Notamacropus eugenii: one gene and its partner. The protein of the gene in region 1 purifies or fractionates together with the protein of each later gene. This does not show direct contact. Links are inferred from orthologs where the notes say so. Each region holds a gene or a part of one and is shown in the gene's direction. Other genes may lie near its edges.

Evidence for each region. Proteins that work in one complex are often made in the same cells at the same time.
Region 2: the proteins of ASF1B (region 1) and CDIN1 purify together in Homo sapiens (affinity purification with mass spectrometry; 4 studies listed by BioGRID and IntAct, counting the BioPlex papers as one, with this or other methods). This does not show direct contact. The link is inferred for Notamacropus eugenii from reciprocal best matches to the Homo sapiens genes ASF1B and CDIN1.

Annotation. Positions count from the first base shown.
Region 1 is NC_092875.1:76,827,892-76,834,851, forward strand, and holds the start of ASF1B (histone chaperone ASF1B), read left to right. Parts: upstream 1-3,853; 5' UTR 3,854-3,864; coding exon 3,865-4,174; intron 4,175-6,960. UniProt on the Homo sapiens protein: Histone chaperone that facilitates histone deposition and histone exchange and removal during nucleosome assembly and disassembly. Cooperates with chromatin assembly factor 1 (CAF-1) to promote replication-dependent chromatin assembly.
Region 2 is NC_092878.1:21,609,545-21,617,411, forward strand, and holds the start of CDIN1 (CDAN1-interacting nuclease 1), read left to right. Parts: upstream 1-4,791; 5' UTR 4,792-5,418; coding exon 5,419-5,519; intron 5,520-7,867. UniProt on the Homo sapiens protein: Plays a role in erythroid cell differentiation.

The DNA of each region.
Region 1 (6,960 bases):
AAAAGGAAAAGGACCTATGCGTACAAAAATAAAGCAGCTTTTTGTGGTGGCAAAGAACTGGAAATTGGGATGCCTATCAATTGGGGTACAGCTGAACAAGTAATATAAGATTGTGATGGAATACTATTGTGCTTTAGGAAATAATGAAAGGGGGTGGTTTCAGAAAAAATATGATGTAAAGGGAAGTGAGAAGAACAAGGAAATCATTGTGCACAGTAACAAAGTTATAACTGTGAAAGACTTGGCTACTCTGATCAATACAATGATCTAAGATAATTCTAAAGGATTCAAGATTAAAAAATACTATCCACCTCCAGAAAGAGAACTAATGAATATTCTCTTTTATTTTTCTTGCTTTAAAAAATAATATGAGTACTATGGAAATAGATTGTGCAATATAAAATTTTCTAATTAAAAAAAAGATGAGTGAGTGGGGACCACTCACAGAGGTGGGGGATGGAATAGTATCACCTGTTCAGGCAGAGGGGCTGGCCTTGGTAAGGAGTCGGATCCCCTTAGGATCTGACAGGTGAAGGAGATAGTGGCAGAACTATCTGAATGATGGGAGGTGAGGAAAAAGGGAGAAGGAACTTAGGGAAAATGGTCTTAATTTTTTTCTGTAAAATATGAGGCAAGGATCTCAACTGAGAGGGGTGGGGAAGGAGGAGCCATGGAATGTTTGAGGAGGGAGCTTTGGAAGAGAAACTGTGGAGTAGGATAAAGACTTGATAAGGGAGGTATAGAAAGATTGCCTAGCAGCAGTGAGGGCCCAGTTGAGGTTGTAGAACATAAATTTGCAGTAGACAAATAGTTGTGTAATTATAAAGTTTAATGATTTATAAAGTTTAAATTTCTTTAAAATTGTAAGCAATTATTGTCCCAATTCTACCACTTATATTTCCTCTCTCAGGCCCCCAATATTCAAATGAGGAGGTTGGAACATCAGATCTTTCCAATTGAGTATCTCCTTCCTTTCAAATATTCCTAGAGTACTTTGAACCTTCCTTTGCCCCATTACATTCTACTTTGCATTACGCTTTCTAGTCTACCCTATCCTCACTTCCAAGTAGACCTAAGTTCTTTGAAGGCAGAGACCAATATTTTTAAATATATATTTTTTTAAATTTACTTTTAGTTTTCAACATTCACTTTTATAAGATTTTGAGTTCTAAATTTTCTCCCCCTCACCCTCCTCCCCAAGATAACCTGCAATCTGATATAAGGTATACATGTACAATCATATTAAATATATTTCCACATTGGTCAGAGTGTAAAGAAGAATTAGAACCAAAGGGAAAAACCAGGAGAAAGAAAAAACAAAAGGAGAGAGACACTAGTATGCTTCAATCTGCATTCTGATTCCATTGTTCTCTGGATGTGGATAGAGACTGGTATTTTTAAACTTGGTATCCCAGTACAGTACTTATATGTACTTCAATATTTAAAGTACTTCAAATATTTTTCATCTTCAAATTTTCATCTTCAATTTCAGGTACCTTTCATACTTTAGGTCATGTTAGCCAAGATCTGTATGGTGCTTTAAAGTCAGAAGAGTACTTTACACACATTATCACTTGAGACATTCCTTCATGCAATAATTTATTAAGCATCAATTATGACCAGGGTCTCCCATTGCATCCTGAGCCATCTCCAGTCATCCTGATGAATATCAGGCCACTGGAGTCAGATGGCTCTGGAGAAGAAAGTGAGGCTGATGACCTTGCACAGCCCTCCCTCACTCAAATCAAAGTCAACTGCAAGTCATGTCATCATCTTGATGTCATGGTCCTCTTTGAGAATGAAGGACAAACACACAATGTACACAAGGCACAACTGTCCTGTGAAGAAGTGAGCTAAGTACTATTACTGCATATTACAGATGAGGAAAGTGAGGGTCTAAGATGTTAAATGATATGCCCACTGTCTCACAACCTATGTCAGAGACAGGATTAGAACTGAATTCTTACTGACTCAGTCTATACCATTCCATCCATTCAACAAGTATCTGCTAAGCGCCTACTATGTGTCAGACACTGTGCTAGGTTCTGAGCTCTAGGCACTAAATGTCAGTATCCTTAGCCTACTATGAGCTGGGGATTCTGCCAGGGGCTCTCAGCAGAGTGACTGTGGAGCTTACCGAGGTATCTGGCACATAGCAGGGGCTTAAATATTAGTTGACTTTAAGGAAACAAAGATTCACTGCTTTCAAAGAGTTTTCAATCTTTTGGGGAGAGACAACTCATACACGAATAAATACAAAACATACACTAATGGAGGGAAAGGATTAGCAAAGTGGGGGATGGAGAGGGGCACACATAAAGATTGGCCTCTTCCAGGAGATGACACAGGAGTTAAGCCTTAAAGGAAGGGACATAAAAGATGGAAGTGAGGGACGAAAGCACTCCAAGTTTGGGGGGAACCTATGTAAGGTCATATTGAGGGGAGAAAAATCACATTTGAATCTGTGTGGTAGATGACTGGAGAGGGGAAGAGACTCGTGACTGGGAGACCAATGAGGAAGCTACAGCAGGAGTCCAGGCCAGAGGTAATGAGCTTCTCTACTAGGGAAGTGGCCTTTGTGAAGGAGACTGATGGGAGGCAGATGCCAGAATGGAGATTTGGCCGGATCTGGAGAGTTGACAGCTGACTGACCATGGAAGGGAAGACAGACCGACTCGTTGAAGACTCCCACGTGTGATTCCAAGGGAAAGTTACAAGAGAAGTTCTGGACCGGTGGAGGCAGATACCTACAAGGCATCCTTTGCGTAAGTTAAACAGGCCTAAAATTCGAAATGCTGGTAGAACTCGGTGAAAGGAGCTCTGCGGTCACTGCCTGGGCTCCAACTGCCGCTACTGCACTTGCTTCCTGCGTGACGCGATGGGCCTGGGCTGGGATCCAGCCTCCGTCCAGAACAGTCCGTGTGACCTTGGGCCTCGGCTGTAAACACAAGGGGTGGGACTAAACCATCTCTGAGGTCTCAGCGGCTCCAGACACGGCGGCTATCGGACGTTTCCGCGGGCCGACCCCGGCTGCGGCACGGAGTGAGCCGGAGGTAGAGCGAACACGACTACCGGCTGCAGGCCCCGGAGGCTCCCCGGGCAGAAGGCTGGGCTTATCCGCCTCTCCGCCCAACCGCCCACGACGCTCACAAGGGGCGGAGAACGTCAGGCGCGACCGAAGACGGTGCTTGAGTGTAACCGCCGCTTCAGCACACTACGGGTTCACCTTCCGCCTGCTCCCGCCCCCTCAAGACCGGCTTGACCAATCCCCTTTGGGCACAACTCTTCTTTCTCCTCCCCCCTCTGTCAATCACTACGGGAACCCGTAGTGTTCCGCTAGCGCCTCGCGCCCCCATTCGGCAGTTAGCGGCTCTGCTTCCTCTCCCCCGCCCCCTCCGTACACCGAAGGGAAAAGGAGCGCAAACGGAAGGAAAAAAGAGGCGGGGACGAGCGCGCGTCCCGAAGGCCGTCCCCTCAACGCCAATTGGTCCCAGGGATCCCCGCGCTCACTCTGCGCTCTGCCACAACGAGTCCACTGCTGAGGCGGAGGCGCCGGGGATTGGCTGGCATCAAGAAGAGAGAGCAGTCACGCTGGGGCGCCAAAAGAGGGATGATGAGCGCCTTAACACCCCCCACACACCTCCCGCCACACACACCCGTCTATCCGCGCAGAATCGGGCGCGCGCGTGCCGGCGAGGGAGGGCAGCCGATTGGCTGGGAAGAAGCTGAACGCACTTCGACGGGCGACTGCGTATTGGCCCCTAGAAGCTCGCGCTGAGGAAAGCGTTGGAGCGGATTGGCCGGGGGGCGGGTCCGGCTATTTGAAGGGGGCGCGGGGCGGGTGAAGTGGGGGAGGGGCGGGGAATGCCGCCTCATTCTGGTGTGGAAACCGCGCGGAGGGGACGCGAGAGGGAGAGCGGAGGCGGCGGCGGCGGCGGCGGCGGCGGCGGCGGCGGCGGCGGCGGCGGCGGCGGCGGCGGCGGCGGCGGCGGCGGCGGCGGCGGCGGCGGCGGCGGCGGCGGCTGCTGCTTGGAGGGTGTGCTTCGTTCCTGCCCCCGCGAGGCCATGGCCAAAGTTTCGGTTCTGAACGTGTCGGTGCTGGAGAACCCGAGCCCTTTCCACAGCCCCTTCCAGTTCGAGATCAGCTTCGAGTGCAGCGAGGCCTTGGCCGACGGTGAGCCCCGGCCCTCCCCTTCCCCTCGGGATCTCCCAGTCTCCCCCCGCGCGTTCCTGACGGAGGGGACTCCTTTATGCTGACTCCCACGAATCGGGCTCCCGCCCCGCCCCGGTGGGATGCTAAAGCTTCCCTCTGGTATCCGCCTGCACCTTAATAAAGTGTTCTGTTCTTGGTCTAGTAGAATATAAACGCGCTGAGGGCAAGGGGCCTGTCTCTCTTGGATATTTGCCTCCCCGCTCCCCGGCCTGGGTGGTCGGCGCTTAGTTCAATGTTTGTGTTACCCTAGGCATGGCATTTTAACCCTCGGAGCCTGCGATTTCTCCTCTGTGCTTTTGAGATGATGATAGCGCCCACCAGGCTCCTTGGAAGCTTTAAAATGAGCCATAGAGAAGCGAGCGCTCGGGGCCACTGAGGCCCCGTCCATCTCTGAGGTTCTGGACTTAATATTACTGCAAAGGATTTTGTGTCAGCAGCGCTCTCAAGTAAGCCTGGATATCCACTCTTCTGCCTGGTACTGCTTCCAGCCTCCGGGAGGTTATCCCTGTTACTCTTCCCTCATTCATTTCTGTGGCCCTTTTCCACCTATTAGAAGAAGGGTTTTAATGAAATCCGAGATGGCTTCTTCCTGGATGACGTCTCCAGTCTACCCCCAACTACGCCTGATCTTTCTTGCTAGAAAGTGGTTCCTAAATGCCCCAGTGCTTGGACAATTCTTTAATCTTTCCTACCCTACACTTTTCTAGAACTGCCTGAATTAGTGTGGACCCCTGCCCTGTATCCAGGGGCTAGCTGTTACCTGGCTTGTTCCTAAAAGGCCATTTCTACTGCTCTGCTACTAAAGTAGTAGAAAGTTCCATGAGTTGAGAGTCTGTTATTTGAGAGTAGCAATAATATTTAAACATTTCATTTATATGGTGCTTTAGAAGTTTGCAAAGAATGTTATATATCTCCAAAAATGTGCTTTTAGGAGAGGGGGCTATATGGTTTTGGGAAGATAGGTATCATTTAAAATAAGTACTTGGTAGGTTGTAATTTTGCATCCCCCTCATGAAAGTACTTTTAAAGATGGTCTCATTTAACTGAAGAATATTAAAGCCAACACCATTTTCATTTTCCAGATGAGAAGGCTGAGACAGAAAAAGTAAGGTTCTCTCCTTTGAGAAAAGGTGTTCTACATATTGTACTAACAAAATGGTCAGGGTTACTCAGTGAATCTCTGTGAATTAGGAATAGACTCAAATACTCTTAACTTCCATTTTACTCTTACTAGACTATCCCTTTGCCTGTGGGGATAGCAGAATTTAATAAGGCAGAATATAGAAAGACAGAATTTAAAATCCAGGGGGTTTAGCCACTAATAAGAGCATCTTTGCCACTTGGATTAACTTACTTCAAGGGCCACACACTATTCATATAGGCCTTAGCCTTTATTATGTTTATAGTTTACAGTTTGAAGAGACTAAATTCTTAGTTAATTTGCTTAAAGTCATATGGTGAGGTGGAATAGTAATTACTAGAATTTGGATCTCCCAGCTGCTGACTAAGTGTTCTTCATTCTTGTCATATTCCTGAAGTTGGAACACTATTACCATTCTTCTCTTTTAAAAGTATGGCATAAAATTTATGGTTTAGGAAGCCTGATTTTTTTAGGTTGAGAACTAGAACTTGATAATTCCATAACTGAATCTGTTAGTGATTTGATTACCTGGGAAATTTGCATTTTCCTGTTGAATTACACTTTTTTGCTACCTTTTGCACAAAATTCTAGAGACTAGAGAGAGGGCATACTATTGCTTAAAGGGCTTAAGAAATCACAGCTTGCCAGTTTTAAGACCTAAGAAGCCATATAACAAACTGTTAACTGATCCTCTTTTTCCCTGACACAAACCATTTTTCACCTCTCACTTAATCCTGTCAACATTCCATAAAGCAACTAAAAACAACTAAAACAGCTCATTTTAGAAATCGAGCAGTTTACTTTATCCTTTGGTCCAGGATTCTCCTGAAAATACAAAAATTATAGGCCACAAGTTGTGGAACCCAGGTGTTTAGAAATAGATCTACTATACTCAGATACTCCTAAAGTTTAGCGCTGTTTTGTGGTTTTTTTTTTTAAACTGGATGTAACTCAGTTCATAAACTGAGACGGCTACCTCAAGACACAGGTCCATGAACTTGGGTTTTTGTTTTTAATTTTGATGACTATTTCAATAAAGCCAGTTTCCTTTATAATACTAAGCATTTTATGTATTTTCAAACATTATTCTGAGGTGTCCATGACACAAAAAATTAAGAACCTCTGCTCTAGACTCCAGTTAAATTGAAAAGGTAGAAAAGCACATAGTTGCTGTAGAAATGAGGAACCTGGTGTTATAGGAAAACCTTAGCAAGAAATTATCCAGGATGCATTTACCTAAGATCAGAACTCCTTCCTTAAAAGGGTACTGTACCAAGTATCTTGTCCCAAAGTAATCACATTCTGTGGAATCATGGCGCCTGAAAATTTTCCCAGGCATCTTGAGCTTAGGGTTGTGATTTTAAGATGTCTAAAACATTTTCAGGTTAGTTGCCAAATCCTTCTGCATTGCTATAACTTTGCCCTGAGTATACTTGGAACTCAAGATACTTGCTTTGGTTGGCACTGTCATTCACAGGAGATAACTGACCTATTGAACAGTTATGGCTCATTTCTCTTGAATGTACCATTGGGTGAAAGGAGGTACTGTTAATGTATATTAGAAAACTGGGGTTTAAGTGTAAATCCTGTGAGTTTCTTGACCATG
Region 2 (7,867 bases), on another chromosome or scaffold:
CTTCTAATTAATAATGAAAATATACTTTATATAGTATGAACTTAGGCACATTGAAAGAGTTAGGTGAGTAGTTTATTTTTAGGAATAATTCAGTAGCAGGAGCAGATCAAAGAAAATAACTATGTTAATTCCAGTAATGAATCTGAAATTCTCAAACTGCTTCCCATATGCTACCTTATTTATTCTTAAATATTCTTGTGACAGATATTAAGTAGAGAGGGCAGACTTTCCAATTTAATAGGAACACTGTGTTACAAAAAATCATACTGTTTTCTAGTCCCAGACTTTTTTTTTGCCTGTCTTTCCAAGTCATTCCAAGACTCTGGGTTCAGTCCTGGATCTCTTGCTAACTAGCTGTGTATGGGCAAGTCATTTCACTTTCCTGGGCTTTAGTCTCTCATCTGTAAAATGAGAGGTCCGGACTTGATATTGTCTATGATTCCTTCCAACCATAAGATTAAATGATTCGGTTCATCCAACAATTATGTCACTTTATTTTCTAGCCTACACTGTTAAAATGGTTTACTACCTCTGGGGTTCTAATCAAATCAGAGACATACTGTGTCATGTGCACTTTTGTTTTCCCTCTAAAGTCTTCCTTATCTTTAAAAACACTGACTACAATTTACTAACAGTACTAACTACAGTCATCTTTCTCCTCCCTTTCATTGAAGCCATGGAGATTAAATAACTTGCTAACGGTCAATGGTAGTAAAGTAACAAAGTCAGGATTCACACCCAGGACCTCTGACTCTAGAGTTTCTACTACAGTACTTCCCATGTAATTATAATAATAATGATGATGAAGACAGGTACATATGTAATAGGAACAGAAAAGTGACTATGAGGACCAGGAGTAAGAGGAAAATAAAAGAAAATAAAATAATCCAGATTCATCAAGGAATAAATGGTTCAACTGAACTGATTAATGAAAATTGGTTTTGCTTTGGGCTTCAGAAAAGATGTCTACATGCAATTCCTCTACATACTTTTCTTGAATTCCTGAAATCTGGTTTCTGACCTCATCACTCAAATGAAACTTCTCTCTTCAGCTACTATTGATCTCTGGGGGACCAGATCTAATGGCTTATTCTCACTTTTCATCCTCTGTGACTTCTCTGCAGCTTTTGACATTGTCAGTCATACTTTCCTCCCATGAATTCTCTTCTTTCTGAGTTACTGTGACTCTGTACTCTGCTGGTTCCCTTCCTTCCTGTCCAATCTCGAACTTTTGCTGATTTGCTGAACCATCTCCGTTCATTAACTGTGGGAGTTCCCAGAGGTTTTATTCTGGGTTCTCTTCTCTTTCTAGACTCTTCTCCTTTGATGATCTTATCAGTTCCCGTGGGTTCAATTAACATCTCTATGCAGATGACCTCCATATACAGTCCTAATCTTTCTCCTGAGCTCCATTTTTGCCTCATAGAGTGCCTGTTAAATATTTTTAATGGGATGTTCCAGAGGCATCTCAAACTTAATACGTCTAGAACCGAATTCAATACCTCTCCCTCCCACTCCTAAATCTACCCCTCTTCTGAATTTCCCTCTTACTGTCAAGGACATTATCATCTTTGTAGTCACCCAGGTTCATAACCGTTGTCTCATCATTAATTCTTCACTCACAAATATCCAATCCATTGCCAAATCTTGTTTATATCTCTGCACCTTCTCTTTCATGCACGCAATTCTTTCCACTTATTTAGTGACCTCCCTAAATCCATTCCTCATCACCTCTGCCTGGACTACTGCAATACCCTCCTATTTGGCTTCCTCGCCTCAAGGTGTTTCCTACTCTAATCCATTCTCCAGAGCTACCTGTGATTTTCTTAAAGGGCAGGTCTTGATTATACTAACCTCCCTCCTCCACCCCTAATCAATTAAAGTGACTCTGCTATTACCCTCAGGATCATGTATGAACTCTGACATTCCCATATCTCCATAACCTCCCCCTTCCTGTGCTTTTAGTCTTATTCATAATTCCCCTTCCAGCTCTCTCTTTGATCGTCATACTGATCTATTTGTTGTTCTGAACATGCAACATTGCATCTCCTATCTCCCTATCTTTGCACTGGCTCCCTCAAGGCAGGAAGAAATTCCCTTCTCACTTCAGCTTCTTGAAGCAGAAAGCAAGGAACTGCTTTCCTTCAAGACTCAGCTCAAGGGACATCTCTTACATGATGTCCTGATCCCCCACTTCCAAGAGCACTCCTCCTCCCAAATACCTTGTATTCTTCTAAATTTCATGTTGTTTCCCCTATTAGAATATAGTTTCTTTTAAACAACTTCAAAAGTCTTGGGAACTCTGATCTACATGATGGTACCCACAGCTCCAGGGGATTTATGATGAATCATGCTATCTACTTCCAGAGAGAGACAATTAATTCAGATTATAGTTTGATGGATAGATGGATAGGTAGATAGATAGATGATAGCTAGATAGCGAGACAGAGAGAGAGAGAGAGAAAGAGAGAGAGAGAGAGAGAGAGACTTGGCTAAGGTGAGAATTTGCTTTGCTTAACTACATGTATTTAACAAATTTGTTTTTCTTGCTTTCTCAGTGGATGGTGGAGGAATGGATGTCAGAGGAGAAAATTCAAAGAACTGAAAGTAAAATAAAATTGAATGTTTTTTTTTAAAAAGGTAAGCTCTTTAGGGGCAAGGATCCTTTCACTTTTATCTTTGTATCCCTAGAGTTTAGCACACAATGCCTGGAATATGTGTTTAGTAAATGCTTATTGATTGATTGATTTGATCATTTTAATTTTTCCTGTTCCTTAGAAAGCTGATAGTGAGGAGTCAGGTAAGAGGGATAATGGGAAGCTATCAACCTGAAAAATAATACCTGATGAAAAATGTGTGCTGATCTGGGTTGATGGGGAAATTTGTTTTTTTGTGATGAAAACGATAAGTCAATGGCCCTGTGTTGAAACCCGTCCCTTTCCATTCATCCCTGCCCTACTTCTCTATACAGCTTTTAATTTTATGACCCTGGATGAGTCATTTAACCTATTCGTTTCCATTTTCTCGTCTGCAAAATGATGATAATGTCTGGTGCTTACCTAGCACAGTTCTTGTACGGATCAAATCAAAAGGTAAATGAAACATTTTGTGAACTCCACAGTATTATATTTAACAAGCATTTATTAGGTGTCTATGGTGTGCCAGGTACTGTGTGAGGAACTAGGTATAAAAAGGTAACAATTTCAGTTATTTCATTATTGTCATTTGTTACTAAGCTCCTGTTGGCTTCTCTATAGTAAACTAAGCTTACTTTTCTTGGGTTGCTTACTTATAATGAGATTTAGGCTTCGTTGCTTTCTACCTTACGCTTAGAGTCACTGAAAGAAACTTTCTACTTGTAAACATAAAATATTGTGAAGGATGATTATATCAACAGCTTTGCTTTGCCTTTCTAAATTATCCATCAGTAATATTTTATTGGGTATTCAAGTGGTTTTAGATTACAAGTCACTGAACAGTTTTTTTTTAATATTCTGTAACCAATTATCTCAAAATTTTCTCCCCCAACCAGAGGACCTGCATGTGCAAGAGTGTTTATTGCTCAATCACAGATTCTTAAAGGAGACTCATTTAGGTCATTTAGTCTGTGTTCTTCTGGGTTAATGCCAAAATAATCTTCAGGATTTGGGACCAAATAGTGAAATGACTAGCAAAAATTAAAGGTGGCTTTTTTCCTTCAGTGTTGTAAAGCTGAGTGTAGGGGATGGAGCTGTGTGAAAGCTATTTAAAAAAATAATTACTACAAACCTCCCTAAACTGATGTTTTCTATCAAAATCTTACTGCTATGAATTGGGTACAAGGAGATGTGAAGGGGTAAGGAAAAGGGGAACAAGCAGCTTCTGCTTAGCATCAAATAGCTTTCATGTAAAAGTAGTGGCAGGGTCAGCAACACACTAGCCAGGTGGCAACTCCAGGCACCGCTGCCATAAATAAATAGTTATGCACGGGTGTCACACAGCCAGACCTGGATACAAAGCATATGGGGGAAAAAACATCCTGATGTAAACATTTGGCAGAAAGCTATATGAGTACAGGACGGTCTCTATTTACTGGATTTTGTGACAATTAAAAAAATAAAAGGAAAGGGAATGAGAAGGAAACTTTTAAACACGAACTGAAAAGTCCCCCAAATTTCCTCAATACTTAATCTAAAGGGAACCTGACAAGCTAACATCTGTGCTTTCTGTTTTAAGTATCATTCAACCAAAGTTCAAGTACTTTCTTCCATTAAACAAAACTTCTGAAAAAAAAAAAAACAGATCCATCGAAATTAATGCCCCCACCCCCACTACTTTCCCAGTAAAGTTAAGTGTCAGTGTCCAGAGGGCTATTTAATTTTCCCTAAGATTTGAAATCGTAGATCAAAGCGCTAGAAGGGACCTTGGAGGTCATTTTAGTCCAAATCCCTCATTCTAAAGACTAGAGAACTGAGGTGGAGAGGTGAAGTGACGTGGAAGGTCCCTCAGGTGGGATCTCACCCCCTGGCTTTTAACTGCAAATCCAGCCCTGTCACTGTGCCAGTGAGAAAAGTTGACTTGTTAAACTGTGACTGAGAAAAAGCCGGCTTGTAAATTAGTCTGAGAAGCCCCGGTCGATGCCTAGATTCCTAATACTGGCTCGACACTAATTTTCCAAGATGCAAAGTCAGTTTCTCCGTTCTGGCTGCTCGATGTTGGTAGGGTCCTCAACGCTCCTTAAAACCGAGGCACCTGTGGGGCCATCCTCAGGTGCTGGGGATTTCTCTAGGCGTCGCTCTGCTCTCCCAGCCAGGCTCTGGGGGGAGTCCCTCCTCACAGCCCTGCTCCCCACCTCCCCGCACACCCCGAGCAAAAGCGAACTCGGACTCCAACGCGTTAACAACCGCTTTCCAGGGCTCGGCTGAGCACCGACTATCCTGTCCTGCCATCAAGGCACTTTCTGGGCATTTTTTCCCCCTTAAGGAAGTTCTGGGCGCGGGGTTCAGAGTGGACACTTCCCCGAGCCGCCCAAGCCCAGCCCAGGAATGAAAGATGGCAACAGCGCGGGCTTCGAGGTGCTGGAGTATCTGGCAGCCAGGCGTCTTGCAGCATTACTTCCTGGTTGCTTTTCCCTTAACTGACATGGCGCCTACTGGCCTTCACTTGCGCGCTCTGCGGCTGCTCAGAGGGCAGAAGTGAGGGCAGTCCCGCGTAAAGCCCGCGCTACTGCTCCTGCCGCCGCCGCCACCGTGGCCGCCACCGCGGCGAACCTGGGGATCGCTGCCGCGTGCCCCTCCTCCCCGCCCCCGGCGGTGCCGCGTGCTGCGCGGAGGGCGGACGGGTCCCCAGGGTGCGCGGTGCCAGCTGTCTCCAGCCCCTTTCGGGCTGCAGCGGCCCCTGGGTGTCATTTCACTCCCCCAGCCCCTTCCCGGGCCAAACATGATATTGACCAAGGCCCAGTACGAGGAGATAGCTCAGTGCCTCGTGGCTGTGCCACCTACCAGGCAGAGCCTGAGGAAGCTGAAACAGAGGTTCCCCAGGTAAGTCTCCCGCTCTTTCTGCAGGGTCTCCAGGTGCTACAGCACTAGCGGGCACGGACAGTGCTGGGGTCGTAGGGACGCCAGGTCATTCGTTGTTATAGGTAGGGATTATTGGCAGTGTCACCATACCCTTTATCTTCCACTGAAGATCCCCGAAGTACTGTAAGCGCTTTCTATCCTCAGGGCTACAAAAGAGTAACCACTCAATAAACCCTTCCTGGCGAATGAATGAATGAATGAATGAATGAATGAATGAATGAATGAAGAAGAGAAATTTTGGAGGCAACAAGAAACTCACTGAAATATATTAGAGAGTAACACAATCAATACTCCCGGCGTTGTGGGGGTCTCGAGGGATACAGTAGCAAAAGTGAAACTCCCTCCAGGAGTTTACCAACTAGCTAAGATTTTACACGTGTGAATCTGTAGTTGATACAATGTAACTGTGAAGGCATTTGCAGCTGGAAATCTGAAAGACTTCTGGTAAAGTTGGTTCTGGAGCTGATAAATGAAAGAAACCAAAAGATTCTAAAAGGGAGAGGTAAGGAGAGAGTGCATTCCAGGCATTAGGATTTAGCAACACAGAGTATCTTGCTCTCTGTGCTCAATACAATCTGGTGGCTTTCTGGGACTGTCATGCCAAGATTGTCTTGTGGTTATAGTCTCTTAATTCCTTCAGATAGACTTGAGAGCTGAGGATATCAGCTTTAGTTTACTAATAAGGTAGATATGAATAAGCAGATGCAGCAACAGCTTGCCATAGTAGGTAGCTTGCTGATCTTAGAGTCAAGAAGACCTAGGTTCCAGTCCCATTTGTGACATTAGTTGTGTGGCCCTGGGCAAGTAATTTAACCTCTGTCCCTGTAACTCTCGGACATCTCCTAAATCATAGATTGGATATATCTGGTGAGGAAGGAAATTTCCACAACAGGTGTTGCCTAGGAGGAAATCTCAGATCTTGTATTCCTATATTTTTGTATGACTCTCTCTCCTCCCCACCTCCTACCAAATAATAATTTTGCCTGCGTTTAATTTCCCAGCCACTGTTTCTTGAAATTAGAATAACAGAGTTTGTAATACCCTAAAAATAATCTTCTTCAACTCTGATTTTACAAGTGGGGAAATTAAGACCAAATTTACCCAAGATTTCATGGTTAGTAAGTGGTAGAACTCACAGTAGAAGGCATGCTTCCTGACAAGTCAAGTACAGCCAAGTCACTTTAGTTGCTAGATAAAGATTACTGCTTTTCCTTGTGTTGCTAAGATAATTAAAATTTATCTGTATTCCTTTATCTTGTACCTACCCTTTCTCACCAACTTATTTTGTTTTTTATATTTTAGACACTCAAGTTTGCATTCTAGATAAATCATACTCAACTTTTTATTTTCTCACTCCCCCTCCATCACTATCCAACTAGTTGCCAAATCTTATCCACTTTACCTTTGAAACATCTCTACTATCTGTCCACTTCTCTTTATTCTACAATCACCATCCTACAGGGGCTTATCATGTCTCCCTTGGACCACTGTTATAGTCTCCTAATTGGTCTCCTTATGTCCAATCTATTCCCCCTCTAATCCATTCCCCATACAGTTGCCAAATTGATGGTCCTAAATCATGTCTAACCATGATGCTCCTCTGGTCAGGGAGATTAGAGGCTGCTCAGCCCTTCTATACTGAAACACAAAGTCCATTGGCATGGATAGCCCTTCATAATTTGGCTTCATCCTGTGTTTCTTTGTCTCTCAGTGTCTCAGACACACAATCCCCCCCCCCCCCCCCGCGCAACCCCAACATCAAACTGGCTATTTGACATTCTGTCTCTTGCCTTTCTGCCCCTCATGCCTGGAATTCTGTACCTCCTCCCCTCTGCCTCTTGTAACCAGTAGCTCCCTCAGGAAGCCTTTTCTGATTTCCCCCTAGTTGTTCCTAATCCTCAGTCACTGTGTGTTTATTTTGTATCCTATCAATCTATTTTGTATCCTTTCATTCCCCTAATTAGAATGTAAGATCCTCAAGGGCAAGAGAATTTCATGTTTTGTATCAGCATCCTAAGTTTTAACCACACTTCCTAGCACTTAGTAGATACTTTAAAAATGGCTTGATGATTTAATTTTAAAAAACAGACCCACTTCCCCCATCCCATTCTTTCTTAAGGCATTATTATGCTATTGGAGGGAGAGAGTATTTTCCTTTCCTAGACCTTATTATACTAGTATGATTAGTGATGAAAGATGCTTGTGCAATTTATCTTCAAGTTATGAAAATTAAAGCATGATGTGAACCATGTGATACAGGACTCAGGACACAGGTTCTTCTTACTCTTGCCTCCATCACTTATCTAGCT